Tamandua tetradactyla: one gene and its partners. The protein of the gene in region 3 interacts with the protein of the main gene of each other region in a pairwise test. Links are inferred from orthologs where the notes say so. Each region holds a gene or a part of one and is shown on either strand. Other genes may lie near its edges.

What was found.
Region 1: the proteins of MAX (region 3) and MXD3 interact in a two-hybrid assay, tested with the Homo sapiens proteins (4 studies listed by BioGRID). The link is inferred for Tamandua tetradactyla from reciprocal best matches to the Homo sapiens genes MAX and MXD3.
Region 2: the proteins of MAX (region 3) and MXD4 interact in a two-hybrid assay, tested with the Homo sapiens proteins (2 studies listed by BioGRID). The link is inferred for Tamandua tetradactyla from reciprocal best matches to the Homo sapiens genes MAX and MXD4.
Region 4: the proteins of MAX (region 3) and MGA interact in binary tests that used the Homo sapiens proteins (3 or more experiments, as listed by UniProt). The link is inferred for Tamandua tetradactyla from reciprocal best matches to the Homo sapiens genes MAX and MGA.

What each region holds. Positions count from the first base shown.
Region 1 is NC_135346.1:59,027,172-59,034,209, reverse strand, and holds the start of MXD3 (max dimerization protein 3), read left to right. Parts: upstream 1-4,013; 5' UTR 4,014-4,170; coding exon 4,171-4,240; intron 4,241-4,517; coding exon 4,518-4,623; intron 4,624-5,181; coding exon 5,182-5,211; intron 5,212-5,339; coding exon 5,340-5,454; intron 5,455-7,038. UniProt on the Homo sapiens protein: Transcriptional repressor. Binds with MAX to form a sequence-specific DNA-binding protein complex which recognizes the core sequence 5'-CAC[GA]TG-3'.
Region 2 is NC_135345.1:2,085,463-2,092,496, reverse strand, and holds the start of MXD4 (max dimerization protein 4), read left to right. Parts: upstream 1-4,022; 5' UTR 4,023-4,084; coding exon 4,085-4,148; intron 4,149-4,232; coding exon 4,233-4,332; intron 4,333-6,969; coding exon 6,970-6,999; intron 7,000-7,034. UniProt on the Homo sapiens protein: Transcriptional repressor. Binds with MAX to form a sequence-specific DNA-binding protein complex which recognizes the core sequence 5'-CAC[GA]TG-3'.
Region 3 is NC_135338.1:22,368,817-22,375,782, reverse strand, and holds the start of MAX (protein max), read left to right. Parts: upstream 1-3,963; 5' UTR 3,964-4,262; coding exon 4,263-4,298; intron 4,299-5,027; coding exon 5,028-5,054; intron 5,055-6,966. UniProt on the Homo sapiens protein: Transcription regulator. Forms a sequence-specific DNA-binding protein complex with MYC or MAD which recognizes the core sequence 5'-CAC[GA]TG-3'. The MYC:MAX complex is a transcriptional activator, whereas the MAD:MAX complex is a repressor.
Region 4 is NC_135340.1:55,242,452-55,249,360, forward strand, and holds the start of MGA (MAX gene-associated protein), read left to right. Parts: upstream 1-3,909; 5' UTR 3,910-3,986; intron 3,987-4,087; exon of another isoform or gene 4,088-4,261; coding exon of another isoform or gene 4,262-4,278; intron 4,279-4,769; exon of another isoform or gene 4,770-4,913; intron 4,914-6,909. UniProt on the Homo sapiens protein: Functions as a dual-specificity transcription factor, regulating the expression of both MAX-network and T-box family target genes. Functions as a repressor or an activator.

The DNA of each region.
Region 1 (7,038 bases), on a different chromosome or scaffold from region 3:
TAGAAAAACCAATAAGCAAATTTATCTGGAAGGGCAGGGTGCCCCGAATTGCTAAAAGTATCTTGAGGAAAAAAAACGAAGCTGGAGGTCTCGCGCTGCCTGACTTTAAGGCATATTATGAAGCCACAGTGGTCAAAACAGCATGGTATTGGCATAAAGATAGATATATCGACCAACGGAATCAAATAGAGTGCTCAGATATAGACCCTCTCATCTATGGACATTTGATCTTTGATAAGGCAGTCAAGCCAAGTCACCTGGGACAGAACAGTCTCTTCAATAAATGGTACCTAGAGAACTGGATATCCATATGCAAAAGAATGAAAGAAGACCCATCTCTCACACCCTATACAAAAGTTAACTCAAAATGGGTCAAAGATCTAAACATTACGTCTAAGACCATAAAGCGGTTAGAGGAAAATGTAGGGAGATATCTTATGAAACTTACAATTGGAGGTGGTTTTATGGACCTTAAACCTAAAGCAAGAGCACTGAAGAAAGAAAGAAAGAAATGGGAGCTCCTCAAAATTAAACACTTTTGTGCATCAAAGAACTTCATCAAGAAAGTAGAAAGACAGCCTACACAATGGGAAACAATATTTGGAAACGACACATCAGATAAAGGTCTAGTATCCAGAATTTATAAAGAGATTGTCTAACTCAACAACAAAAAGATAGCCAACCCAATTACAAAATGGGAAAAAGACTTGAACAGACACCTCTCAGAAGAGGAAATACAAATGGCCAAAAGGCACATGAAGAGATGCTCAATGTCCCTGGCCATTAGAGAAATGCAAATCAAAACCACAATGAGATATCATCTCACACCCACCAGAATGGCCATTATCAACAAAACAGAAAATGACAAGTGCTGGAGAGGATGCGGAGAAAGAGGCACACTTATCCACTGCTGGTGGGAATGTCAAATGGTGCAACCACTGTGGAAGGCAGTTTGGCGGTTCCTCAAAAAGCTGAATATAGAATTGCCATACAACCCAGCAATACCATTGCTGGGTATCTACTCAAAGGACTTAAGGGCAAAGACACAAATGGACATTTGCACACCAATGTTTATAGCAGCGTTATTTACAATTGCAAAGAGATGGAAACAGCCGAAATGTCCATCAACAGACGAGTGGCTAAACAAACTGTGGTATATACATACGATGGAATATTATGCAGCTTTAAGACAGGATAAACTTAGGAAGCATGTAATAACATGGATGGACCTAGAGAACATTATGCTGAGTGAATCTAGCCAAAAACTAAAGGATAAATACTGTATGGTCCCACTGATGTGAACCGACATTCGAGAATAAACTTGGAATATGTCATTGGTAACAGAGTCCAGCAGGAGTTAGAAACAGGGTAAGATAATGGGTAATTGGAGCTGAAGGGATACAGACTGTGCAAGAGGACTAGATACAAAAACTCAAAAATGGACAGCACAATACTACCTAATTGTAAAGTAATCATGTTAAAACACTGAATGAAGCTGCATCTGAGCTATAGGTTTTTTTTGTTGTTGTTTGTCTGTTTGTTCATTTGTGTCTTTTTTTTACTATTATTATTATTATTTTTTTCCCTATATTAACATTCTATATCTTTTTCTGTTGTTTTGCTAGTTCTTTTCCTAAATCGATGCAAATGTACTAAGAAATGATGATCATGCATCTATGTGATGATGTTAAGAATTACTGATTGCATATGTAGAATGGAATGATTTCTAAATGTTGTGTTAATTTCTTTTTTTTCTTTAATTAATAAAAAATGCTTATAAAAATAATTTTAAACAGTGGTATATGCATAAGATGGAATATTATGTAGCAATAAGACAAAATGACGTCCTGAAGCACATGATAAGATGAATGAGCCTTGAAGACGTAAATGCTGAGTGAAATAAGTCAGACACAAAAGGGTAGATACTGTATGACTCCACTTTTATAAGCATGGTAAAGGTAAAATCAGAGGCTTATAATACAGAATACAGGGGTCTTAGAAATACATAGAAGCTTGAGATGGGTGAATGGTTAGCTAATGAAGTTGAACTCCAATGTAAGGAAATAGATAGGAGTGAAGGTGGTTCTCTAGTGGGTCTATAAGTAATATATCATATAGAAGGTGAACATGATTGAAAGGGGCTGTATATGTATATATATAATCCCACTAACACTAGAAACATAAATACTTTCTTGCAAGAATTAAAAATTAAAAATATAGAAAAATAAAAATAATACAAAACCCATATAGCCAACTTCAGTATATTCCCACACATGCCAAGATCCATGAATTTCAACATTTTTTTTGCCACATATGCTTTATCATTCTGTCTATCTATCTATCTATCTATCTATCTCATCCATCCATCCATGTATCTGTCCTCTAAACATCTGAGAGTAGGTTGTACACATCATGTTCCTTGGACACATAATACTTCCCTCCCAGTACATTTCCTAAGAACAAGGAAATTCACTTCCGTAACCACTTCAATGTCTAGAATTCTTTGACATCCTTCCTACACACTGATAACACCTATTTGGAAAAATCTCCCACCTCCCTGGTCCCACACTTCCGGGGACGTGCTCTCAGCCTTGCCTCTTTTCTGCTGAGGCTGCGTCAAAGCTGCAACTGGAGGTTTGTGTGGTTACTATAATGGCCTCTCTCCCCGACAAGTGTGACCTCTGCAAAGGCTGGGCCCCCATTTGTTTTGGCCATTGCTGCATTAATTCCCCAGCTCCCAGTACGGTGCCTGGTGTCCAGTAAGTGCTCAGCAGATGTTTAGTTGGCAAATGAATGGGTGGAAGGGTGCGTGGACAGTCCGAAGCTGGAGTTCTGGGCTGAGCATGTCAGTGACCCTCAGAGAAACTCCAAGGTTATTAACAGGGACTTAAGGAGCTGTCTGGCACGAGGCATGTGTTTACCTAGGACTGTTTTTATAAAGCATCCACCCCCCCTTTCCAGATTATTGTGACCGCAGTCGCAGCCAACGCCTGGGTAGTAAACGCTCCACCCTGTCACGGCTGCTTTCATCTTCTGTCCCCACCCTGAGACTCTGTCACTGACCCCAGCAGGCGTGGCTACGCCTGCTGATGTTCCTTCCCAAGGCTAGGGAGTAGATCACGTTCAAGGAAGACTCCGAGTAAGGCACCCAGGAATCTCCGGGCGGAAGCAGCCCGCGGCAGCAGCCCCTCCGCGCTGGGCACTGCACAGGCAGCGGCTCCGACCTTCGACGCCGTCCCGGGGCTTCCAGAGCTCGGAGACTAGCGGTCAATCCCGAGACACACGCAGCTGAGGAGTTTGCCGCGACAGGAGAGAAACGCAACCCCGTAGACTCCAGATCCCAGGCCTCTCTAGAAAGCCAATTCGCGGGCTTCCCGGGCAGGGGCCGGGCCAGGGAAGTTGTTACCCTTCCGACGTTCCCGTAGAGCTTCCCCGCGGATGACGAGGAGAAGCCAGATGCAGGCGGGCTTGCGGACAGATCCCCCAGCGCAGCAGCTGGGTCCGCGCACCTCAGCCTCGGCGCCTGCGCACTGCGGCCCCACGCCCCGCTCAGCCCGCCCCCATCGCCCTGGTTTTCAAATTTGAAACCTGCTGCTTTTCCCGCCCGAATTTGTTGACCAGAGGCGGGAGAGGGCGGAGCCACGCGCCAGCCAATAGCGCCTCAGAGGCTCCCCGGCCCCGCCCCGAAGATGACGACAGCGAGACGCTGGAAGGAATCGACAAATAAACGAGCGGCACCTAGCCGTCCCACCTCCGCGGCGCCCACGTGCAGAGGTCGGGCCAGCGGCTCCCCCTCCCCGAAGGGCCACTGTCGGCTCAGAACACGACCCACTTGGTGCTAGAAACTGAGGTCCTGGGGTCCCGGCGCGGGGTCCCTGAGGGAAGAAGGCCAGATGCAGCCCCGCTAGCCCGGAGTCTACCCAAGCGTCAGGCCTGGAGCCCGCGCCCCTCCCACTCCCGTGTCCCGCGAGGGTCCGAGGCTGCCTCGGGGTGGGCGGGCCCGTTGGGGGCGGGCCGTTGTTCCTGGGGGGCGGGGACTGGGCGGAGCGTCCTGGGGGCGGGGCCGGGCGCCTGTGTTTGTTGCACCGTGTCAGTTACATTGTAACAAAAGTGGTGCGGACGCTGCTCCGGCCAGCACCCCAGGCCCGCCCGCAGCCAGCAATTAGCGGCATGGAACCCGTGGCCAGCAACATCCAGGTCCTGCTGCAGGCGGCCGAGTACCTGGAGCGGCGTGAGAGAGGTGAGGAAGTACCTTTGGCGGGACCCCAGGGACAGCGATATCGCTGACAAGGGCCTGGACTAGACTTGGCTCCCATTGCAAAGGATGCATGACTCTGACTAGGGCAATAGACCCGGGGCGTCCCCGCCCTCAAATAGAGAGGTGTCCGCCAGCGGCCGGGTAGGGATGAATGTGGGAAATGGCCCAGGCGCCAAAGGCCCTTCCCTGGCCCTGTCGTGCCAGGGGCGCCCATGGGGACCGGCCCCAGCTTGACGCGGGCGGGGGCTCTTTCTGGCAGAGGCCGAGCATGGCTACGCGTCCCTGTGCCCGCACCGCAGTCCAGGCCCCGTCCATAGGAGGAGGAAGCGAACCCTCGAAGCTCCTGGCGCGCTGGATAGTGGGCGGTGAGGAGGGTCGGGGATGGCGGAGAGGGAGAATGGGCGCTGTCCTTCTCGGGGCCCCTCCTCTGTCCCCTTTGCTTCGTCCCTCTCGCTTGCATCTTCTGGGCCAGGTGCTCTGTTCCCGGAGGCATGCAGATCCCTAACCATTTTACCTCTTCCTGTCAATTCCCCACATCGGAAACACGCTCACATCCTTCCCATTCATTCAAGGAATATTTCTTGAGCTTCCTCCTTTGCTTTCCTTGCCTCAAATCTTTGCACATGCTGTTTCCTCCAATTTGAATGCTCCTCCTTCCACAAACCCGCCTTGGGAAATTTCTATCTTGGGTCCACCTCAAATGTCATGTCTGTGCAGGAAGCCCTTCCTGACAGCTGGACAGGCCTCTCATAGCATTTGGCTCATTTATGTCCCTAACTCCCCTGACTCCTGCTTGGGGGCTCTGGTACCAGAGGCCAGCACAAAGTCCCCATAGGGATGTTTAGCGCCACTGGGGTCCTGGGACCGGGTGATGTTGGGCAGTAGCTGATGCCTCCTCATCCCATCCTCCCTGGCATTGGCAGGTCTGTGCACAACGAGCTGGAGAAGCGCAGGTGAGTCCCAGCCCTGCCCTGACAGCACAAGTCCCCCAGGAACTCCTCCCTCAGGCTTCCCTTCCCCTGCCGTCCCTGCGGCCAGCAAGGCAGGGTCGGCACTGCCCTCCAGACCCTTTCCCCTGCAGGAGGGCCCAGCTGAAGCGGTGCCTAGAGCAGCTGAAGCAGCAGATGCCACTAGGGTCTGACTGCGCCCGGTACACCACGCTGAGCCTGCTGCGCCGTGCCAGGGTGCACATCCAGGTAAGGAGCCAGTTTGCCATGGTACCTGGAGGGGGCTAATATGGAGGGACTGGGTGGAACTGGGCAGAGACGCCTGAAGCCAGAGCCCAGCTGTGCTTAAAGTTACCACGCTTGTTAAATGTGAAGAAAAGTAGAAAATGACCCAGAGGGTAGTTCTGAACCGTAAAGGAGTTCATGCAATAAACGATAACTGTTGTTATTACTGTTATTCTTACTTAGACCCTAGCTGTGAGACATTGGGCAAGTCACAGTCTCTCTGGATTTCCGTTTCCTCCTTTGTCTGGGGTGGGGGTGGGCGGTGGCTGTTGAAAGGCACTGTGATCGGGCAGATACAAGGGTCCCTTGGATTGTAGAGGATTGGCCCTGGCCTCTCCCCTGCCCCCTTCCTTCAAGGCTTCCTGCCCTGGACAGTTTGTCCTGATGCACTCTGGGCATCTGCCCCAGAGACCAGGAAGGGGAAAGGGCAGAGAAAGCACCAGGCAGGTATCTTCCCAGGATCTGGCTCCCGCTGGGCTGAGCTCGAAGCCCCCTGGTGGGCCGGACTGGGGTTTACCGACTTAAAGCCCCAGCCTGTACCAGACATGTCAGGATTTTTACTAGGGGCCTTGGAAACAACAGAGGGCTTTTTCCATCCTGGCAGAGGAAGAAATGGAAGCACAGCCAGGTTAAGGGCCAGGTCTAACAGATGAGAGGCAGATTTAGGACCCAGACCTAGGGCCCCTGGTTTGCATTCTTTCCTTCCACAAGTATTTAGGAAGCACCACCTCTGCCAGGCACTGATGTGCCAGTGAGCAAATAAGTGGGAACCGGTCAGTCTGTCTCACAGGTGCCAGCGATACCCTCGTTATGGCTGAGTGGTACCCTAGTGGGGTCTGGAATGGACTAAAGGGCTGAAGTCCCACTTTTGCCTCTCTCCATCATGTATGGCTTGCTCTGGACTTTAAGTGATCCCGAAGTGTCTGTGACCTCTCTCCCTGCTTAGGCACCTTCTGCAGCTCCCAGTTGTAGTGTCCGTTCAGAGTCTCCATCACCCAAGCCTGTCCTGCTCTTAGTGACCCACCATAGGTGACCATCTGCCCCCTCTCCCCTACCTGAAATGCCCTCCATCTCCCTACCTCCCTTCACTCCCTCACGCACTCCAAACCCCGACTACTCCAGGGCCAGGGACCCCTCTCCCCTTTGGTAGGCAACATGGTTCAGTGTCTCACACGGAGCTTGCCTGGCCGGGCACTCAGATGGCTGATGTGTGCCTGTCAGGTGCCGGGCGGACCGTGGGCAGGACCCAGGTTCTCTCTTTCCTCGAAGTCCCTTTATCTCCTCTCCTGAACTGACACGGGCCTCCTCCTGGGCCCCTGCTTCCTCTTGCCTCCACCAGGCTGTCCTTCACTTTGCCCTAGCGTGAGCTTGGCAGCACAGATCCATTTCCAGCTGAAAATCCTCCAGTGAAAATCCACAGGATCAGTGGCTCCTGATAGGACCAAGTCTCAGTTCCTTATTTCCTGTGAAATTCAAGGTCCTTCGCAATCCAGGCCTTGCCACTGATCTGCTTTTTTGGTCTCATCTTTTTCCCATTTCCCACAGAGC
Region 2 (7,034 bases), on a different chromosome or scaffold from region 3:
AATTTGTACATTTAGTCACTATCATCATACACTCTGGGCATTCCTAGATTATACCATCTCAATCTTTATTGTCTAGCTTTCTTTCTGTTTTCATTTATGCCCCCAGCCCTCCTCCCTCTATCATTGTCACATTCAGCTTCATTCAGTGTTTTAACATAATCGTATTACAGTTAGGTAGTATTGTGTTGTCCATTTCTGAGTTTTTATATTCAGTCCTGTTGCACAATCCGTATCCCTTCAACTCCAATTACCCAATATCTTACCCTATTTCTATCTCCTGATGGTCTATATTACCAACGAAATTCTCCAAGTTTATTCACTAATATTCTGAAAAGAATTTGAGGGGACATTTTGTTGTTTTGATTTGGGACATTTTTGTCTGCAAGTTAATCATTTCACTTACAGTTGTCTAATAGTGAGCAGCCTTGGTCAAGTGAGCAGAATCTGCCCCACAAATTGTTCACTAATATGCTTATTTTATTATTTTAAATAAATATAAACAATGCTGCACCGTTATGTTATATGGACGTTTAATTGCATCTTCATTAACTTTGATTTTTGCCATCTTCTTTTTGTATTTTGGAGACGATTTTTTTTTGCATGTCAAACTTTTGAGACGGTGCTCCAAACCTCGGGGGCCTGGCCTGGTGCCGTGGCTGGCTGGTGGGGTGGCTGCTGCACCACCCTGGGCTCTGGCCATGGCTCCGCTACTGACCAACTGTGACCTGATAGGCCCTGCCTCTCCGGGCGGAGGCTCCTGCTGGATCGGAGCTGATCCTCAGGTTTCCTGCCACTTCCTGGGCCCCCTCTGTGTCCAGCCCACCCTGCTTAGGGCCCCCCAGGCATCCTCCCATTCCAACACCCAAATGCCCCAGCTAGGGAAATGGAGGCACAGGGAGGTCAGGCGACTTGCCCAAGGCCTGGTGGCCAGACTAGGATGCAAAGCAGTCTGGCGGTCCCCTGGGTCCTTGGAGGAGCTGGTCTTGCACACAGTGAGGCCACAGGGCTGGGGGCTGGGGACCAATGTCCTGGGGGCTGGGCGATGACCCTGGCAGCCTCTGGCTGTGTACATCTCGCACAGATGCACTCCTGCCCCCAAGGGAGCTGTCAGAGCCAGGGTCTGAGGCCAGGTGGCTGTGGGAGACTCTGGAAGAGGGACAGCCAGGGGTGGGGTGGGGGGATGCTGCTCCCTGGTGCAGCATTGAAGTCCCGGGCACTGCAAAGAGCCTTAGGCGTGTTTCCCCATCAGGTGGGGGGTGGATCCTGGGTCCCGAGGAAGGGAGCCAGGCCTATCGGGGTGGGTAGGCTGGGAAGCAGCCTTCTCTAGGTCTCTTCTTAGGACCTTGGCTGCCCTCCTGGGGTGCTGGGAGGAGGGGGGGACAACCTTTTCCAGCTCTGGGCCAGGTACCCGCATCCCACCCTGAGGCCGCCTGTTCGGGCAGGCACCATCATCCCCGTTAGATTGCTAGGAAAACTGAGGCTGGGGCAAGGGCAGAAATCCCAGCAAGTCCAGGCAGAGAAGTAGCTCTGCCCTTCCACCCAGAATCCGAATGAGGGGTAGGTTCCCCCCAAAGAGTAGTGAGGAAGTTTGGACAAGCCAGAGCCGAGTCCAGAACTGTGCTGGGTCCAGGAAGGCCGCATGGTGGAGGGATCCTGGGTCCTGCATGAAGGGGGGTGGGCGGAGGCTCAGGGTGCGGGTAGGAGCCTATGCTCCTCTCCAGCACCTCATGACTAGTCAGTCCTGCAGGTCCCTACTCTGGAGAGGGGGTACCAGTCTGGGAAAAGGATGGGGGGCGATGAGGGGGCCGCTGGCTCAGCCCGGATTCAGGGAGGGCTTCCAGGAGGAGCGGTCATGTACCTGCTCACAGAGGGGCTCAGGTTAGGCGGAGTTGACAGGACCCCTACCCACCCAGCGCCTCCGCCCGCCCCCGTATTCCGGGACACGTGCCCAGGGAGCTGCGCACCTCCCCCCCCCCCCCCCCCCCCCCCCGTCCGCCTCCCTGTCCTGCCTGTCCCGCTGGCCGGCTCTCCCTGGTGCAAGCACCAGCCTCACACCAAGGCAGGCTGGGGCCTGCATCAGGAAGGGTCGGGCCTGGGTGTGGCTGGGGGTGGGGGTCCGAACTGGCCTAGGTAGAGCGTAGGGGATCCCCCTCTCCTAGGCTGAGGTCAGGCAGGCAGTGGCCCACCTGGGCCCACCACTGCAGCTTCTGTAGCCCAGGCCCCAGGGTGGGTCCTGCACCCTGCCTCCCCTGGGCACCTTTCCCACCAGGGCGCAGAATGCACCTAACTCCCAGAATTGGGGACCCCTTTACCCTGCTCGGCTCTGGGCAGCTCTCCGGGCTACTCAGGAGGACCCCAGTGAGGAGCTCTTGCTGGCAGGGCCCTGAGATGCTGGCGGGGCGGGGTGTTGCAGAAGTGCAAAGGGCCAAGGTTAATACCCACAGGGGTTCTCTTCATGCCCCCACCCCCGCCCGCGGGAACTGGTCTTCCCATCCCGGTTGCACAGGTCGGACCCCAGCAAGCCGGGCTGGGCGAAGAGGGGGCTCTGGTATCGAGGCACCTGGGCCATCCCTCGGCCGGGGGGGGGGGGGGGGGAGTCCTGTGGAAGCTCTCGGATCTGCTGGGGGCTGCCAGGAGACCCCGGCCAAGTCACTAAACCTCCTCAGAAGTCTCGATTTCCTCATATGTGAGCTGGGGATGAGAAAATGCACAGGAAACGCCTACATGGCATTTACAAAAGTATAAGGTTTTTACACTTTATTCGATTTGCTGGTGGTAGCAGCTGCCACACTCCCCCATCGAGAACTTCTGCGGTGGTGCAGGCAGCTCGGTCCACAGACCCCAGGCCTGCCGGCCCCGCTCCTCGGTCACCAGGCCACCGACCTCAAACAGAAGCCACTGGGAAGCGGAGGGGGCCGGAGGCGCCCGGCCAAGAGGTGCCCTCCCGGACACGCCCGAGGTCTGAGGCTGCCCCGCGAGCGGAGGCTCCCTCTCCTCGCCAGCTCTGGGCCAGCCCCAGGGTCCGAGCCCCCTCGGGCCGCCGGGCAGAAGCTGGAGGAGTCCAGCCGCTCCCAGCGAGGTCAGCTCCCCTCGCTAGGCTCCCCACGGAGTGGATCAGTGCTGAGCTTCCTGCAGGGCAGCCGTAAGGCCCGCAGCCCGGCGTCGCGGAAGCCCCTCCGCACCGTGGGGCAGCCCCGGGCCCCTCCTCCAGCCAGGGCGCCTCGGGCAGCTCGGAGCCAGCCGCTCCCTCTCGGGGCCTCCGTTTCTTCCTTGAGGTCCCTGTACCCCTCCTCACACGCCGGGCCTTTCCTGGGCGTCAGTCTGTCCGGCGGGGAGGGGGCTCGCTTTGCAGCCCCACGCGCGACCCCCAGCTCCCCTGGCAGCGCAGCGTTTGTCGCCGACCGGGCTCAACAGCTTCCCCGCGGGCGCAGAGCTCGGGCGGGCGGGGCGCAGGGGGCCCGGCGCCTGGCCCACGGGTCCCCGCGGCTAACGGGTCCTGGGGGCGGGGCCGGGCTCCCCGCACGCTCCCCTTTCTCTCCACAACGCGTCGGGCCGCAGCTCCCGTCATTGGCCGGCGCCCCGCGGCCGCTCATTGGCCCGCGGTCCCTATTTTACATAGACTCCTCTGAGCCAATCGGTGCCCAGCGCCTACTTAACATGCACGACCGCCGCCAGTCAGCGCGCGAGGGGGCCGAGCCACCACGTGCTGTTGCTAAGCTTGGGCTACTAAATTGTTACTACCGTGGCCGGCCTATCGCAGCCGAGCTTCGGATCTGTCAACATTCTCGGCCCCTGCCCGAGGGGCTCGCCGGGTTTCCATTGGCCGCGGCCCGCCTCGGCACCCGCCCCCCAGGTCGGAGCGCGAGTCCTCATTGGCCCGGCCGGCCGCCGCTCGCCCTGATGTGTCAATTTGCGGGGCCCGAGGCGCAGGGTGGCGGCCGGGCGTGCTGGAAGTCCGCGGGCTCGGGGAGCGGTGCCGCGGGGCGCGCGGGCGGGCGGGCGGCGAGCGGGGCCGGCCGGGAGGGGCCGGGCCGGGCCGGGGGCGGCTGCCGCCGTCCGGGAGCGCGGCGGGCGGGCACAGAGGATGGAGCTGAACTCCCTGCTGATGCTGCTGGAGGCGGCCGAGTACCTGGAGCGCAGGGACCGAGGTAGCCGGCACCGCGCCCCTTTGTGCTCCGGACGGCGGGGGGTGGGGGGCCGGGGGCTCCGATGACCGCGCCGTCTGTCCGCAGAGGCCGAGCACGGCTACGCTTCGGTGCTGCCCTTCGACGGCGACTTCGCCAGGAAGAAAACAAAGGCGGCCGGCCTGGTGCGCAAGGCCCCGAACAACAGGTACCGCCCCCCGCCGCCGGACCCCCTGGGTCGGGGTCGCCCCAGCTTGGCTGGACCCGGGCGGCACCCCGCGTCCCTCGCGGCCCAGCCTCGACCCGCAGCCCCGGCCGCCCCGCGCGCCCCGGCGGCCAGCCTGGAGGAGGCGGCGCTCGCCCGGGCTCCGCGCTGCCCCGCCTGCCGGCCCCGCCCGCGCCGTCGCCATCTTCCCCGCGGCCGCGCCTCCCCGGCCGCTCGCGTAAACAGTGCCACGCGTACAGCGCTCGCCGCCGGGGTCCTGGCCGCTCCCCGCCCCGACGCGTTCTCCGCTTCCTCGGGGAGGGAAAAAAGTTGTCAGCGGGGAAACTGAGGCTCCGCAGAGGGCAGGGTGAGGCTGCCAGCCCTGACCCCAAAGGTCCCCCTCTCCGCGGGTGGGTGCATCCTGCCGCGTCCCCCCTCCCTGACCCAGGGCCGAGCCTGCCCCTCTCTGGGCTGAGCTGACCCCGCGCCCTGGTGCTTCTGATGCTCGAACAAAGGCGACCCTGCCCTGGGCCCCAGCCTCCTCCCGGGGTGCCCACCTCAGGCTACGCAACCTCGTGAACATGACAAACTCCAGAGACCAGTACAGGGGGCACTTCAGGGGGTCAAGAGGTCTTCGTGGGGAACCAGGGTTAGCTGAGGGGTGAGGGGCAGGCTGTGACCCCCTGTGTCTCGGGCTGTGTCCCTTTGGCCCTGTTCCATGGGCTGCAGAAGCTCCAAAGCTGGTGCTCGCATTCTGGTAAGGAGGGGTCACTGTGGGGCAGGGCTCGGCGCTCCTGGCCCTGCCAGGGGCCCCTTTTGGCCTCTGCTGCTCCCCTGCCGTTCTGCCAAGACCCCTGCTTGCAGGGGCTTCAGGGCCCCTTGGCTGAGGCGGGCCTCATTCCTGTGGTTTGTTGGTTCTTGGGAAACAGGAAGGCTGGCACTGGGACCTGTCTTGAGTGACGTCCTGGCCCTGGGGGCGCTCGGTCATTCTCCAGCTGCCCCAGCTGGGGTGTGTGTCCAGGCCCGATCCCCCTGCTTGGGATGGTTAGGGTGAGGCTATGGGGGGTGTCCCTACAGCCAGCCCCCCACAGCAGGCCAGGTCCTGCCACCCATGGAAAGCTCTGGGCTGGGACCTCAGGCTCCCACTGCGTGGAGCACCCAGAGCTGATGTCCAGCGCCACGACCAAGGCTTCCTGACCATTTCCTATGCTCACAGTGTCTCACATGCCCAGTTTCTTAATCTTCAGGGAGGAGGGGAGGAAACTGAGGCCCCAAGAAGCTGACTTACTGGTGCAGGGCTACCCCCTCCCCTGCCAGCTCTGGGTGACTCATCGGGGTGGTCCTGGCCTCCCTGTCTGATGGGATAGGCATTGGGGGAAGGAAGCATAGGGTCTCCTGCACCTGTGCAAACCTCCCTTACAGGGGGCCTGGTTTACAGGGACACTCCCTTCCCAGGGGGTGCTTATGGCTGTTCTGACCCCAGATGGGGAGCTGGGGCAGAGTAGGGGGTCCCTGGGCCCTGACCACGCAGACATCCACAGGCCTGTACAGCTCCCCATCCTGCTGCAGTAGGAGACAGGGTCCGGTCATAGTTGGGGGGAGCGGGGGTGCTAAGGAGCCATCTTTGGGGCTTAGCAGGAGGGGGCTGAGCCAGCTTTCCTGCTGGGACTTGCATTCCACTGGAAGGCGAGGAGAAGACCACTTTCCTCGGGGGGCTGAGGAGTGACCACGTGGTTCACCTGGCCCCAGACCCCTGCAGAAGTACGTCCCAGCACCTGGGCCTCACACACCTCTGCTCAGGGACCTGCATGCCGAACCTCCCCCCAGGATGGGCTCGGGGCCCCCTCCACCCCCCAGGCTGCTGGGGGAGTGTGCCCTGTTTCCAGGATGGCTCCCAGGCAGCCAAGCTTTGGGTTAAGGGTTGCCCCTACAGGTGGGTGATTGGGGAGCCTGCTGCACCCCCTTCTTGTTCCCAGCTGAGTGACCAGCAGGCCCTGAGCCCCCGGCCCCGCACGACTGGTGATGGGACCGTGGTGGGACCGTGAGCTGAGCCCAGGCCCAAGCGGCAGGTGTACCCAAATGGGGAGGCGGCAGTGTGAACAGATTGAGGCATGAGGGCGCCCATGGGAGACGCTGGGGTGGGAGAGAATGCAGGTGGCAGCTGACAGAGCCTCGGGCAGGAGGGCACTGGGGGGCAGTGCTTGGCCTGGAAGGGTCCCGGGCCATCCTGGTGACACTGTCCACTGCAGCCCCCAGCTAAGTGGCCCGATGGGAGGGGGCATTCCAGGCCTGCGCCTCTGTAGGACCAGGGGTCTTCAGTCACACAGGGGCCCCCACCTCTGGAGGGCCCCTGTCCTGAAGGGCTCCGGCCAGTCTGCAGGGAACCCTTTGTGCTGGCCCACTCTGGTGCTACGGAGAGCCGTGGGTGATCGGTACCACTGCCCCTGGCCTCCCCGCCCACACCCCCACCACACCCTGGGAGGGCCTCACCCAGAGAGCAGGGTGGCTCTGGGTGCCCTGGCCCTCATTGCCGCCCCCTGCCTCAGCCCTCTGTGGTTCCCCCTATCCCACCCCCGCCTGCCCCTCCTTGCACTCGGGGACAGGCAGTGCAGTGAGTGGCGTCTTTCTGTCTCTATGCAGGTCTTCACACAATGAACTGGAAAAGCACAGGTAAGTGACCTCCCAGCCCCAGCCCCATGTGAGCC
Region 3 (6,966 bases):
AAGGAAGGAAGGAAGGAAGGAAGGAAGGAAGGAAGGAAGGAAGGAAGGAAGGAAGGAAATCACATTTCCCAGAGATAATTACTATTAGTATTTTTGTTGAATATCCTTTTACTAACATCTCTCTACACATACATATATACTCATATATATATGTTCAATTTTCTGTGAATAGATCATCCTCCAAATATTGTGTCAAAACCTGCTTTTCTTCACTCATTAAGTCTTGACTTTTGAGTTGTTGATCGAGTAACCCAAGGAGATATATCCAGAAATAAATTGAATATAACAAACTAGAATTTAAGAGAGCAAAACAGCTTGGGGTCACCACATGAGAGATGGTTATCAATGCCTCAGGAGGCAGATCCTACCAGGCAGAGGGTCAGAGGAGAAGAGGTAAGGGCCAGCCATAGAGCCCCTGGAACTCGCCACTGACAGGGCAAGAAGAACCAGAGGATGGGAACCAGAGCAGCCAAGGAGAGAAGCAAGAGAGTTATTGGCCTTCAAGAAAAAGAAACGAAAAAAAAAAGAAAAAGGAGTGGTCAACATTGTAAAAGGCCACCATTAGGTCAAATAAGATAAGGGCTTTGGATTTAGCAATAAAGAGGTAGCTGTTGGCCTGGATAAGAGCAATTTTAGTTAAGTGATAGATGGAAGTCAAATTGTAAAACAGCTGAGGAGAAAATGAAGGCAGTTTCTCCGTCCCCCACACTCAGTGCCCCCCTCTTCCCACGTCAGAGCTAGTTGAACTCTAATCTGTATCTGGTCCATTGAATTACGGACCACAACTTAGACATGTTCTTGGGCATGATCTGCATTCCTGTGGGTGTGAACCCACTGTAAATAGCATCTCTTGAAAATGTTATTTTATTTAGGGTGTGGCCCAACTGAATGAGGCTGGCCTTAATCCTGATTATTGTAGTTCATTAAAGGCAGAATGAAATTCAGAAGTAGAGAAAAACACAGAGAGGAGCCAGATGCCAAAAGTCAATGGAAGCAGAAAAGAAAGGAGAGGACATCACATGTGACACAAAAGCCAAGGAACCCAAGGATTGCCACCACCAGAACGCTACCACCCCAGGAGGAAGCAAGACTTCCCAGTCTCCAAATGAGAGATAATAAATTCCTGTTGTTAAACCAGCCCTTGTGTGGTATTTTTCTTAACAGCCAGGAAACAAAGACAGTGCATATGGATCACCTGAGCATTTTATTAAAATGCAGATTTGATGTAGGAGATCTGGGATGGAGCCTAAGGTTCTGCATTTCTAACTAGCTGGTCCATAGACCACATTTGAAGTAGCAAGGGACTAGGGAAACTGGGCTATCTATCCAGTGACAAGCTCCAGTCTTGATAAGCTCCCATAGAGCATCACCAAAGAAATTCAAGTGTGCAGAGATGAAAATGCATCCTTAGAGTTCTACATTATTATTCACATCAGAAAAACACTGAAAGGGAAAACCAAAGGAAACTTCTCTGTATTCTTACTTCTAATGTCTTCCCGCATATGTGCCTTGCTCATGAAAGTCCCTCCAACAGAGGAATTTAAAAGTGTTTCTTAATTTCCAATCTTATGAAGGTTTTCTAGTTTATTGTTGTTTTCGTTATTTCTAGTTTAAGTGCATTAGGTCTGAAAACATGCTAAGATCGCAGACCTTTGAAACTTAAGATTTGCTTTATGACTTGTCAATTTTTGTAAATAGTCCATGAGTATTTAAAAAGAATAAATTCTACAATTGTTTGGATGCCAAGTTTTATGCCTATTAAGTCAAATCTATTAATCAGGTTGACAAGTCTTCATATTTTAAACCAATTACTAAAAAGGAGATATGTTCAAATCTCCAGTCTCTCTACCTGGAAAGTCTTTCCTCCTCAGCTCTTCCTAACCCCAAGCATCCACCCATCAAATAGGGATTCAATGGTGAGAAAAATGTGATCCAGTCTCTGAGAACCCAGTTCTTGCTCTGATGGAACTGTCTGACAGCCTAAAACCTCCCTGACCATCCAGAACTTCCCACTCTCACTCCAGATCTGGGAGTATTTCTCCATCCTCTGAGAAAGTACGGCATTCACTACCCAGTTCACTAATTTGGCACTTAAATAATGTCTTCATTGCAACAGCTGTTCATAATTTATTTCCCTATCAAGTTTTAAATTCCAGGAGGGCAAAACTATTTTATTTTTTTATTAATAGATTTAGTGACATAATTTACATACTATAAAATTTGTGCTTTAAAAGTGTATGATTCAGGGTGCATGGGTGGTTCAGTGGTAGAACGCTCGCCTTCCATGCGGGAGACACGGATTTGATTCCTGGACCGTGCACCTATAAAAAAAAAAAGTATGATTCAGTGGAAGACCATCTTATTTGTCTTGGCACCCTCTATAGCAGAGGTTCTCAGGCTGAGAGGTAACACTGGAAACACCCAAAAGCTGACTTAATTAACTTGGAGCATGGCCTGGCCATGGGGATATTTAAAAGCTCTTGGGGTGATTTTAGCAGATTGTCACGGTACAAGGGTTAAGAATCACTGCCCTATAGTGCTTGCACATAGCAGAGACCCGAAAGTGATTTGTTGTCACCTTCAATTAGTCCTAGCTTCCAAAATTTAATTAACTCACCCAAGAGCTATCTTTTTTATCAGCTCTTACCACATAATGGTCTACTTATGCCTGTCTCCCTTAAGAGTTGTGCAAGGAATACAGTGTGAAAGGAAGACAAAAGCATTAAGAAAAACTAAGTTTACTTGTAAATGATATGCAGACTTCAGTAGAATGGATCATTGAACAAGAAATACGATAGATAAAGGAAGTGTAAAGGAGAAATTGCCACATTGACATTTGCCTTTTCAGCATGGATGATACGCTCGCATGGGGAGCCTGAGTCTCACATTCAAAGGTCAAGGGTAAAATGGTTTTTATTAGATAATTAATAATCTATGGGAAATGCTCAAAATTTTATTCATTTTGGAGATCTATGTACAAGAGTAGTTCGGTAATTTTGCTTATCTCAGGGTGGAAAGTGTCTTTCCAAATTGTTTTTTTCTTCCTCTTTACAATGGTGGCAAGGCAGTCTCATTTTTGTTTCCACATCTGTGAGCGGCATTATAAAGATCGTTCCGGTCTTTAATATTATGGCATTCCCATGCTGGCACGTGTTAGGTGTTTAATAAATTACTGGTGGGATGGATGTGATCACACCTCGCACACATTTAAATATGATTTTAAATGGTTTTGAAATTCTTAACTGGGCACTCCCTAAACTGCCTGACTATAACAAACTCAAAAGGGGCTTTTACTTCCATGGAAACAATTGTTGAGAGTCGGAGGTCTGAATGTATGAGCCTCACGTGAATAAAAAGAATGGTCATTCCTGGATGGATGACTACAAGATTCCCGTGGCTGCAAGCAGTCCCAAGGCTAAGCAGTCATCCTGCCCGTCCCTATAGCACCACTTAAGACCTTCCATTGACAGCTCCTCTCCACAGCCGCATCTTGGAATCAGCGTGGGCGTCCGAAATCGCGCCGCCTAGCCCACAGCAGCAGGATTCCCTAAGCAGGCGGGTTACGCCCCAGATATCAAGACAAGTAAAATAAGTCGCACCAAGGAGAGGCAGCGTGATTTGAGGAGCCGGCTTTTCCTCAAGCACCTCCACGGTGTTCCCTGGACCCGGCGCCCTGAACTCAGACGGCGCCCAGCTCCAGCAACCCTCGACCCCTCCACGTGTCCTCACTTCCCAGAAGCCTCCTCTGCTGCCTTGGGAGGAACCCTCCTGACAACTCGCGGTCTGTGGACTACGACTCCCAGCAGGCACCGCGCCGCTTCTCTCTCCGCCCCCTCAACGGGACACGCAGGCGCTCTGGGCCCCATCAACAAGCCGGGCTGGCGTCGACTTCATGCAGTGCCTGACGGGATTTGTAGTCTTTCTGGCGCCGGCTGGGGGGGTCAGTCAAAGGGACGAGAACTACAAGTCGCGGCGGCCCAGACGTGACGAGCTCGGTCACGTGGCAGGGGGCCGACCGGGCGTGCGTGCCGCCGTTGATCTGGTGCTGCAGTGAGGAGGTGGTTCTCGCCCGTGTTGTGTGTGTGTGTGTGTGTGTGCGTGTATGTGAGAGAGAGAGCGAGTGAGTGAGTGAGTGTGAGTGTGTGTGTGTTGTGTGTGTGTGTGGGGGGACTCGGCTTGTTGTTGTCGGTGACTTCCCCCTCCCCTCCACCCCTCCCCCTTCCCCGCCGCCGCTGCAGTGGCCGCTCCCTGGGCCGTAGGAAATGAGCGATAACGATGACATCGAGGTGGAGAGCGACGTGAGTCCCGGGGTTTCTTCCTTCCCGGGCGGGTTGTCAGGCGGGGACAGCAACCGGGGCTTTCAGCCGGGCGACGGCGGGAGGGGGTCGGGCCGCCGCCTCCTCCTTTACCTTCCCTTCCGGGCCGGGACCGCTTCTGTCGCGCTCTGGGCTCACTCCTCTTAAGGCTCCTGGCCGGAGAGGCCTCTTGGGACTAGAGATGGGAAGGTAGACACGCGGCGTCTGGGACCCCCACCTCCCCTCGTGGATGAGGGTGCTACGGCCGCCCGCTCCCAACCTATCTGGTTCAGGATCCAGGGAACAGGGATGGGGTGCTCCTAGGATCCTATTGTCCCGATCCTGGGGAAGAGCACGGCGCTCAAGACCTGCACCCTCGGTCTGCGATCCCTTCCTCGTGACCCTCGGATCCTGGAGAATGAGGGAGGGCGGAGAGGGGTTGGGAGTGCCCAGATGCCCCGAGCTGGGTCCAGGGAAGGAGAAAGTGCTCAGGACCGCTCCCCCCCCCCCCCGACCCAGGTTGGATCCCGGAAGGAGGGGCGGTGCTCGGGACTCCCCCGGCCCCACTACCGGATCCCGCTGATTGGGGAGGGGAACGTGGGGGGGGGGAAGGGGGGTCGGACTGACTCCCCACCCGCCGCTTCCTCTGCCGCCGGCATTTTCTTTCTTATTATTGAATGTGAAGTGTAAAAATAACTTCTTTATTTTCTATTTTTTTCTCTCTTATTCCAGGAAGAGCAACCGAGGTTTCAATCTGCGGTACGTCTCCTACTCTCCATTTCATTTTCATTTCCGTTCAGTTCTAATCCTTTTGGGGTTAGAGAGAAAAATATCGTTCTATTACTTTTAATATTTAAGTAGCCTCTCCTGTTAACCACTAAGGTGAGGTGGGGCCTTGTTCTGGGGTTCTGAATGTGGGGGGAGGTTGCAAATCTCTTAATTCTAGATTCTCAGGTAATAGGTTCCAGTGACTGTAGGTGAGTGGGAGCAGCTGTATGCAAAGAAAGGAATTCTTTCTGTAGCTTTCACATAGAGGGTTTAGTTGACAGAATGTAAGTTGGAAATGAGAAACACTGCTTTCAGCATTCTGAAGTAAATTGTAGGATTATTTCAGGGGAATGTGGTCAGAAGATTTACTTAGAATAAGTAGTATGCAAAACTATATCTGTAGAGTTGTATGAAGCTGAAGCCACATGCAAGTTACCTTAAGTCATGTGACTGTTACAGACTCATAGGATTTAGCACAGCATGATACAAATTGGCAGTGTTCTTAAAAGAGCTAAAGCTTGAGTATGAAAGTGGCACATATAGTTGATTGTGGTCTAACTCTTTTTATATTTTAGTTGAAGGAAAGGTATAAAGAAAATACCAAAATTGTTGAAGAGAGGTGGTATTGGGGAGAAAGGTTTGCTAAGAGGTGATGGATGAGACCACACAAAGTATTATCAATAATTTCTCAGGGCTTTGATATTTATGTTCTCAGTTCTGTAAATTTAGATAGACAGTACTCTCACGTTGGAGAATGAGACAGTACTGTGGATATTCTATGAATAGATTAGAGAAAGAAAAAAGGAAATAGACAAAAACAAATCAGAATCAGAGAGGGGAAGAGAAATAAGGATAACAAAATCTAATTAAAAGTAGGGAACAATAAGAAGTGTATAGAAATGCCTGTGGGAGTCAGGCAGTGAGATGGTCAGGATAAAGTGGTAGAAAGAGGGGAATAGTGGAGCACATACCTCTCCTAAAACGGTGCTACTACTCACTTCCAGTAGATTTTTACCATGTGGGATAAGGGTTTAGTGTTGCCAGATTTTCCTGTATTTCAAGAAATATTGGAGATCTGTACTTTTATGCTGTTTCTCTGATTTTTAAAATGATGTGTGTGGAACAGTCAAGCTGTTTGGGGCTGGTTAGGGTTTGCAGGAGGCCCTTTTGGTACCAGTGGTATATGAATTTAATAACCACAGAATAAAGGAAAGCATTCTTACGTGTACCAGCTCTTCATTAGAGCAAACAGATCTTGCAGATGGTCTAAGCAGAGGGGCATTAGGAAAAATTTTATTTATTGAGAGCTGATAGTTCCTTAAGATCTAAGGATGCAGTTGTTCCAGAAGTCCTAAAAATTGTTCCTGGGTAATAGTCACTAAAAAAAATTTGTTTTGCTTTATTTTTCTTTGAAGCTTTGTCACAAACATCTATTTATACATGAAATAGAATTTGAAAATTGTATTCCTTGTTTTCAATTATTCTTCTTAATAATGTGGACAATTCTATTTAAAATATTTTTTTTTCTTCATAATTATTGTAAGAGCTACCTCAGGGCCTGATTAGGGTCAGAAAGTAGTGATTGGATAGAGCTCTCATAAGCCCTCTTGCGCAGATTCATCCTTTGAATTGGAATTTTTTGGCTTTCTAGTGAGAATAAAGTTTTCTTGGTGAGATTTCAACTTACACTTCTTGAGAACTTTCCTCTTTTTATAGTATTCATCCTCATAGGCTTTGATGTAAACTGGTATATGAAGTTACTGAAATGTTTTCCATAGAATGCTAATCTTCATTTTGCCTAGATGTTTTAATTTGGTGTTAAGGTGACCTAAGAGTTTTCCCTTTTAAATATTACCTGTCACAAGATCATCACAACAGCATGGAGAAAAAGCAGACATGTTAA
Region 4 (6,909 bases), on a different chromosome or scaffold from region 3:
GCGGTGTCTCCCATTTACCTACAAACCATGACCCAGAGGAGTTAAAACTTGTCCAAATCATTCATCGGGTTAGGAATTGAGTCAGGAGGAAAGAACCCAAGTTTTTTCTCAGATTAATATTTTTCTTATGCAACATTAGCGACAGAAGCAAAACTCAGGCAAAGGATGGGAGGTGGCATACCATTTTCTGTGTTTGAAAATAGAACTCCAAATCCACAGGTGTTATGTATAGGACACATTCAAAAAAACATTGCTATGTGTACTTCCTGGACTTTTGTTTTTTTTCCGGAGTCCCACGAAATTAACAAAATTGTGAATATGGTTAATATGATTTAGGCTCTGACTAGCTAGCCTTCCTGGGATGAACTGTCAGTGGAATTTTAGAACCTTAAGACAAGTGTCTTACTTTGAAAACTGTCAGAATGTGATATACCACAACTAGAATGGCTTTTTTTTTTTTTTTTACTTTTAACAATCAGTTTAATATGTTACAAGTTTACAGTTCTCAGACATGAAAATGTCTAAATCAAAGCATTAACGGGATGATACCTTCTACCTGAATAAAAGCTGCTGGCAATCTGGGGCTTCTCTGTCAGAAAGCAAAACACATGGTGACTGACATCTGCTTGTCCTTCTCTCTTTGGTTTCCTTGCTTTCAACTTCTGGCTGCCCCCTCTGTGAGCTTCTTTCCCACCTTCTCTGGCTCCTCTCACTCAGATTCTCTAGGGGTCTTTCTTTAAGTGTCTTCTTTTTGTCTTTTATCCTGTTATAAAGGACTCCATTTCCACATTTTGGGTGGGTCCACTCTCTTCACATGAGAAGATGCCTCAGCTTCCATGGTTCTGTGTCTGAATTCATTTTTTCTTCAATTTGCCCCTTTTCTGTACTTTTTAGTCAGGCTGGCAATGGTCCCATTCATACGGATCATGGTTCAAGAAGACCGATGACGTTCAGGGTTTCTCACTCGGCTGGTAGGGCACATGGCAAAATCTGCTAGCATTCTCTTCTGGCTTCTTGTTTCATGACGCTCCCCAGGAGGCATTATCCTTCTTCAGCTCCAAAACCTGCTGGCTGGTGGACTCTGTTTCGTGGTTCTGTGGCGTTCTAGAACGGCTTTTTTTTTTTTTTTTCAATTTTATTTTTTTAAATACGAAAAGAACACCAAATAAACGCTAACATTTCTATTTTGATCTTTCAGTGTAGAACGGCTTTTTAAAAAGGGGAATTTAATAAGTTACAAGTTTATAGCTCTAAGGAAGTGCAAGTATCCAAATAAGGCACCAATAAGAGGTTACCTTCACTTAAGAAAGGCTGATGTGTGGGCGGGCCACGGTGGCTCAGTAGGTAAGAATGCTTTCCTGCCAAGCCTGAGGACCCAGGTTCGATTCCTGGTACCTGCACATGTTAAAAAAAAAAAAAAAAGAGGCGGATGTGCCGGGAACAGCTCTGTCAGCTGGGCAGTTACGTGGCTGGCACCTGCTGGTCCCTTGCTCCTGGGCTCCAATGCCTTCAGCCTCTGATCCTGTGGAGGTTCCTCTCTTTACTTCTCTTGGACTGGCTTTCACCTCTTGTCTTCCCTTGGCTCTCTCCAGGTTCTGGCTTGCTTAACATTTCATGGCAGCATCTGCTGGGCTCCAAGCATCTCAAACATCCGTGTCTCTTTTCAAGTGTGGGCATCTGTGTCAGTTCTGGGCTCTGTGGCTTCTGTCGTTTCTGACTCCCCCCAAAATGTTTCCTCTTTTAAAGGATTCCAGTAAACTAATCAAGACCCACCTGGAATAGGTGGAGTCACATCTCCATCTAATCAAAAAGTCACACCCACAATTGGGTATGTCACCTCTCCGTGGAGACAATTTAATAAACAATTTCCATCCTACAGTATTCAATAAGGATTAAAAGAAATGGCTGCCTCCACAAGATTGAATCAGGATTAAAACATGGCTTTTCTGGGGTACATAGTATTTTCAAACTGCCACACCAAGGGTAGTGCTTTCGAGAGAAGCTCTGTGCAAGCCAAACTCTGTTTGTTAGGAATGTTTCATGAAACTAGGAGAGGAAAAGGAACCATTGGAAGGAGACTGGGATGCAGCATCTGAAACACTGAGTTATACAATAAAGGCAAAAATGAGTTTCCAGGGCCTCTTTACTCCAAAGTAGGTAAATATTAACAATTTAAAACTCTTTGAAGTGTGGGCACAGATGCACCCTCCACCTTCTAAGCACTTATGTGTCATCATTATTTCACTGCAATAATGTCTACAGTTCAGCTTCTTAACACGTTAAGGAAAAAAAACTTGAAGTGAAGGAGGGAGATACTGCAAAGATATGTACCAACAGATGGGCAGAAGTCACTATGGAGTCTAAAAAAGATCTGCCATGTACGAATCTGTCAGCATGCCTCTAGCACTGTCTAGGGGAGAAACAGAATAATGGAAAAAAAGCATTCAAGAGTGCTGCATTGGAGAGAGTATGGGATACTGGTTTAAATATAGCCTTTGCCACTAACTAGTACTCATGTTTATAGAGTGCCTGCTATCAGATATTGTCCTAGGTGTTTTTATATTTTTACATTAGAATCATGACAATCCAAAGAGTAGGTATGATTGGCCCCAATATGTACTTAAAGGAACTGAACATCAAAAAGTCTGAAAACCTGTTTAATGTCATAGTATAGTAAATACAGAACTGCAAGTTGACCATAGATCTGTTGACTTCAAGGCCTGATCTCTTTTCACTATAGCCAGTAGTTCTCAAACCTAGTTGTGCATCACAGTTGCCAGGAGAACACACTAAAATAAATTTTCCAGATCCCCATTCAAAGATGGTAATATAGTACTTTTCTCTCACTTTCTGTTAGGATTAAATGTAATGAAGTATTTTGGTGTTTTTATAAACTTTAACATGACTATGCTTATGATTTAATGATTGTATTATATATGATAACTCAGTCCCTTCCTTCTGATCTTATAGTCAGGAAACAATTTTCTGATAACTAGGCTTATACAGTACCTTAAAACCAGGAAAGGGTGCTGTGATTGGTAATACTGTGAGCTGTGGCTTGTTAACCACATTATAAATTATTACATCTTCTTGTCTATAAGTGGGAGCTCTTGACCAGTGCTATTCAAATTCCCCATATTTTGACAATTCAATTTTGTAAATTGACAATACAAAGTTTTGCAATCAGCAAAGCTGAGAATGGAGTGCAAAGCAGAAGAGGTATGAATTATTATAAATGTGGGCTCTTGGGGAGTAGAATATTAGGTTTTGGCCCGAGCTCAGTTTGTTAATACAATTTACAAAACGATTTTTTTTTTTTTAAATGTAAGACCCCCTTTCTCAGCGTTATCAGAGGGTGTGTTTATCTCGGTTCCAATATTTGGCTGGTGTTAAGTGGAACCAGAATGTGTAACAGGCCCACGTCCCTGGCCACTTTAAAATGCCCTCCGCTTCCTGCGCAATTATAGCAATATATAACCAAGCAAGGTCTGCTTTTCTAATCCCAATAATATAACTATATTTCCTCTTCCAAGCGGGGCTTGTAAGTTTTATCTAAAGTAGGATACTTTCCCACTGACCATGAAAGGTTGGTAGTTTACTTGTAGGCAAATACCCTTGCTCAAGTTTTTGCAATATTCACAAAGGCACTCACAAGGCACTTATTAAATGCATGCTCCGTGAGAGGTTAAGAGGTTTCCCTAAGACCACACAGATGGACCAAGTCGGGGAGGGGTATCGAAAGTGCTTGTTAATAGCAAGCCACACGCCGATAATTACCCACACAGCCTCATTCAGAGCTCATAGACGGGGCTCTCAAGGGGACCTGAAAAGAAAGACCCAGAGGTGAGAGCCAGGAAATCGGGAGAGGTGCCTTTCCCGGCATGCTCTGCAGCATACTGAGGGGCGCCAGATATATCCCGGCGTGCATCGGGGGCGCCCAAGGGCGATGATCCTCAGCTCCTGGAGGGGTATGCGAGGTTAAGCCGGTAGGTGTGACCTTATTTACTTTTGAGACCCTGCTTCCTCCTTTCGCCTTTATGGCTTTAACTCCATAAGGCCTGAAAAGAAGGTCCTGTTACTACCCACCCTTTCCGCGTGTGAAAGACTTTCCCCGCTGCTTCGAATGCGGTGCCAGGTGATTAGCGGTTAGGGGCGGGCCTGGGATTAGCACGTGACCAAATCTGGCAGCCAATGATTAGCCCTGTGGTACGGCAGCGCGAGGATTCCCGGACCCGTGAGCGGAGCGGCGCGTGGGCTGGCTATGGTCTGCCCTGTCAGGTACGCGCAGGCGCTTTGGTTGCCACGCGCTTCGTCAGTTCTCACGCGCCCAGTGGCGTGTACTTGGCGCGAGGTGTTACGAGTCTGTGGGTATTTTTTGTGGGTAGGGGGTAAGGAGAGTGTGTGTGTGTGTGTGGGGGGAGAGCGCTATGGCGTCACGTGAGCACCATAAGCCAATCGCAGGCTGAGGCGCACCCGCTGCTTCTCCGGCGCCCCGGGGTGCGACGTGTTCAGCGAGCTTAGACTAAGCGGTGACGGGCCCAAGCGCTGTTTTCGAAGCGCGTATGCGGCCTGTGAAATCTGGCCGTGGGTTTTCGTATGGTCCTGTTCCGCTGTGAGCACGAACGATAAGTTCTCGGCAAAATGGCTGCGAGACAGAGTCGCCTAGCAGGGGGAGCGCCGGGGCCGCGTGAAGGTCACATGACGGGGTTGGCAGCGCGTGCTGCTGGCGCGGGGAAGGGGGAGGGTGGGAGGGAAGGGGAGTGGCTAGTCACGTGCCGTCGGCTGTGCCGTCCTGTGGTTCTGGAGCGGCTTTGCTGTGGCCAGATTTTCTTGTGACTCCTCCCACCTCAAAGCGTGGCAAGAGTCTGGGAGAAGCGGTTGTGGGTGTGATGGCAAAAACCGTGGACTGGGAAGTAAGAGATTTGAGTTTTAGACCTTTGGCTAATTGTGTAATTAGCAAGTACATTGTCAGTCTTGGCTAGTGTTTCCTCTTTTATAGTTTATGTCTGTAGATGAGATTAAGGCCCTACATATCTATAATGTGTTGGACCTTTGATCTCTAGGTAATACCAATTTCATGCAGGGTAATCAAATTATTAACAGTTATTAATGAGACAGGTCCGGCTCTCCCGTCCCCCAAGGAAAAAACCGCAACTGAACTTCCTGCACTTTCTTCCCCCCCAAAAACGAAAACAAAACAGGACAGTGATGTGGAAAACCTGTTGGAAGTAATTTATTATAGAATTTCTCAGAATGGTATCCATCTTTATCAATTGCATTTGTAATCTGTTCCTGCCCCCTGTCACGTTTGAAAAATATTCTGCCATTTAGACAGCTGGTCCCTATGTGTATTCTGGGAAGAAATTAAGGTTGGTAAGTATAACTGTCGAGATGGGGAAACAGTGGTGGTTAGAAGGGACTTGTTAATACTCATTTAGGTCTACTGGAAGGGCCTAGAAGTCTTCTCCACTTGGTGGGCCAATCTTTGTAAAGTTTTTTGGGCTTTGTGCCACCAGTCTTTCTTTGGTGTTTTTCATGATTCTCTGCTCTTACCTCCAGCTCTTCATTTGACCAAGGGCCAAGGCCTTGGTGAAATGAAGCAGTCATAAGTGATGTATTTTTCCTATTACTGCTTGTGTGTGATGGTGGCCTTTTGATTTACCTTAAAGAATCTTTGAATTTTGTGGAATAACAATCTGTAAAACATTGGACAAATCAGTAAGAACAGCCACCATGTTAAATAGTTCATAAGAATAGTTAACATCTTCTCAGCGTAATGTTCTAAGTAGTTTACTTTTTATTTTTTTTAGTGCTTTATTTTTTTAAAATTCATTTAGTTCATGTAACAAACCTATGCAGTAAGTACTATTATCTCCATTTTATTAATGAAGGAAATAGCCACAGAGAGATTAAGTAATTTTCAGAAGTCATGTGGCTGGTAATTTTACATAATTCCAACCTGAATTCCTTTTGGAAACTTAAAGTAATGATTCTTAAATTCATTTGGAGCAATAACCTGTAAAGTAGACAAAACTTTGAAAGAGAATAATTAGGTTCTGGATTATCCAATTATCACTGGATTCCATACAACCAAAATACTGCCTGGCACATAGTAAGCACTCAATTAATAAGTTAAATGAATAGATTTGTCCTTTAACTTTACGGTGTTTCTGCCAACTACAGGTTGTTTTATGTAATAACTATCAATATTTGCCTTCATAGAGTCTACCTCTGTAGCCATGTTAAACAGTTCATCCTATTTCAAGATCGGAAACTGTTAACGGTTTTTTTTTCTTTATTTTCTTTCTTTCTTTCTTTATTTTGGCACGGGCAGTCTTTTCTGGTATTACCATAACTTTATTGGCATTTCGCAAGTCCTGGGACTTTATTGGCATTTCCTGGGACTTGTGAAATGCCAATAAAGTTATGGTAATTAAAACAATAGGTAGTAGGCCTGAAATAGACAAGGAAAGTAGAAAAGAAGAATAATCTAGAACTATATAATGTTATTTAGTATAATAATGGTGGCATTTTAAATTAGTGGGAAAATATTCCAAAGTTATATTGGAACAATTGGCCAAACACTTGGATAATACAGAGTCAGAAAATTATGACTCAAAAAATGGGTGAGCAGAATCTTCACCTGCCATGCTGGAGACCCGGTATGATTCCTGGAGCCTGCCCATGCCAAAAAAAAAAAATGAATAAATAAAATAAAGAAAAAAAAAACGGTTAACAGTTTCCGATCTTGAAATAGGATGAACTGTTTAACATGGCTACAGAGGTAGAATCTATGAAGGCAAATATTGATAGTTATTACGTAAAGCAACCTGTAGTTGGCAGAAACACCATAAAGTTAAAGGACAGATTTATTCATTCAGTATTCATTTAACTTATTGAAGGCTTACT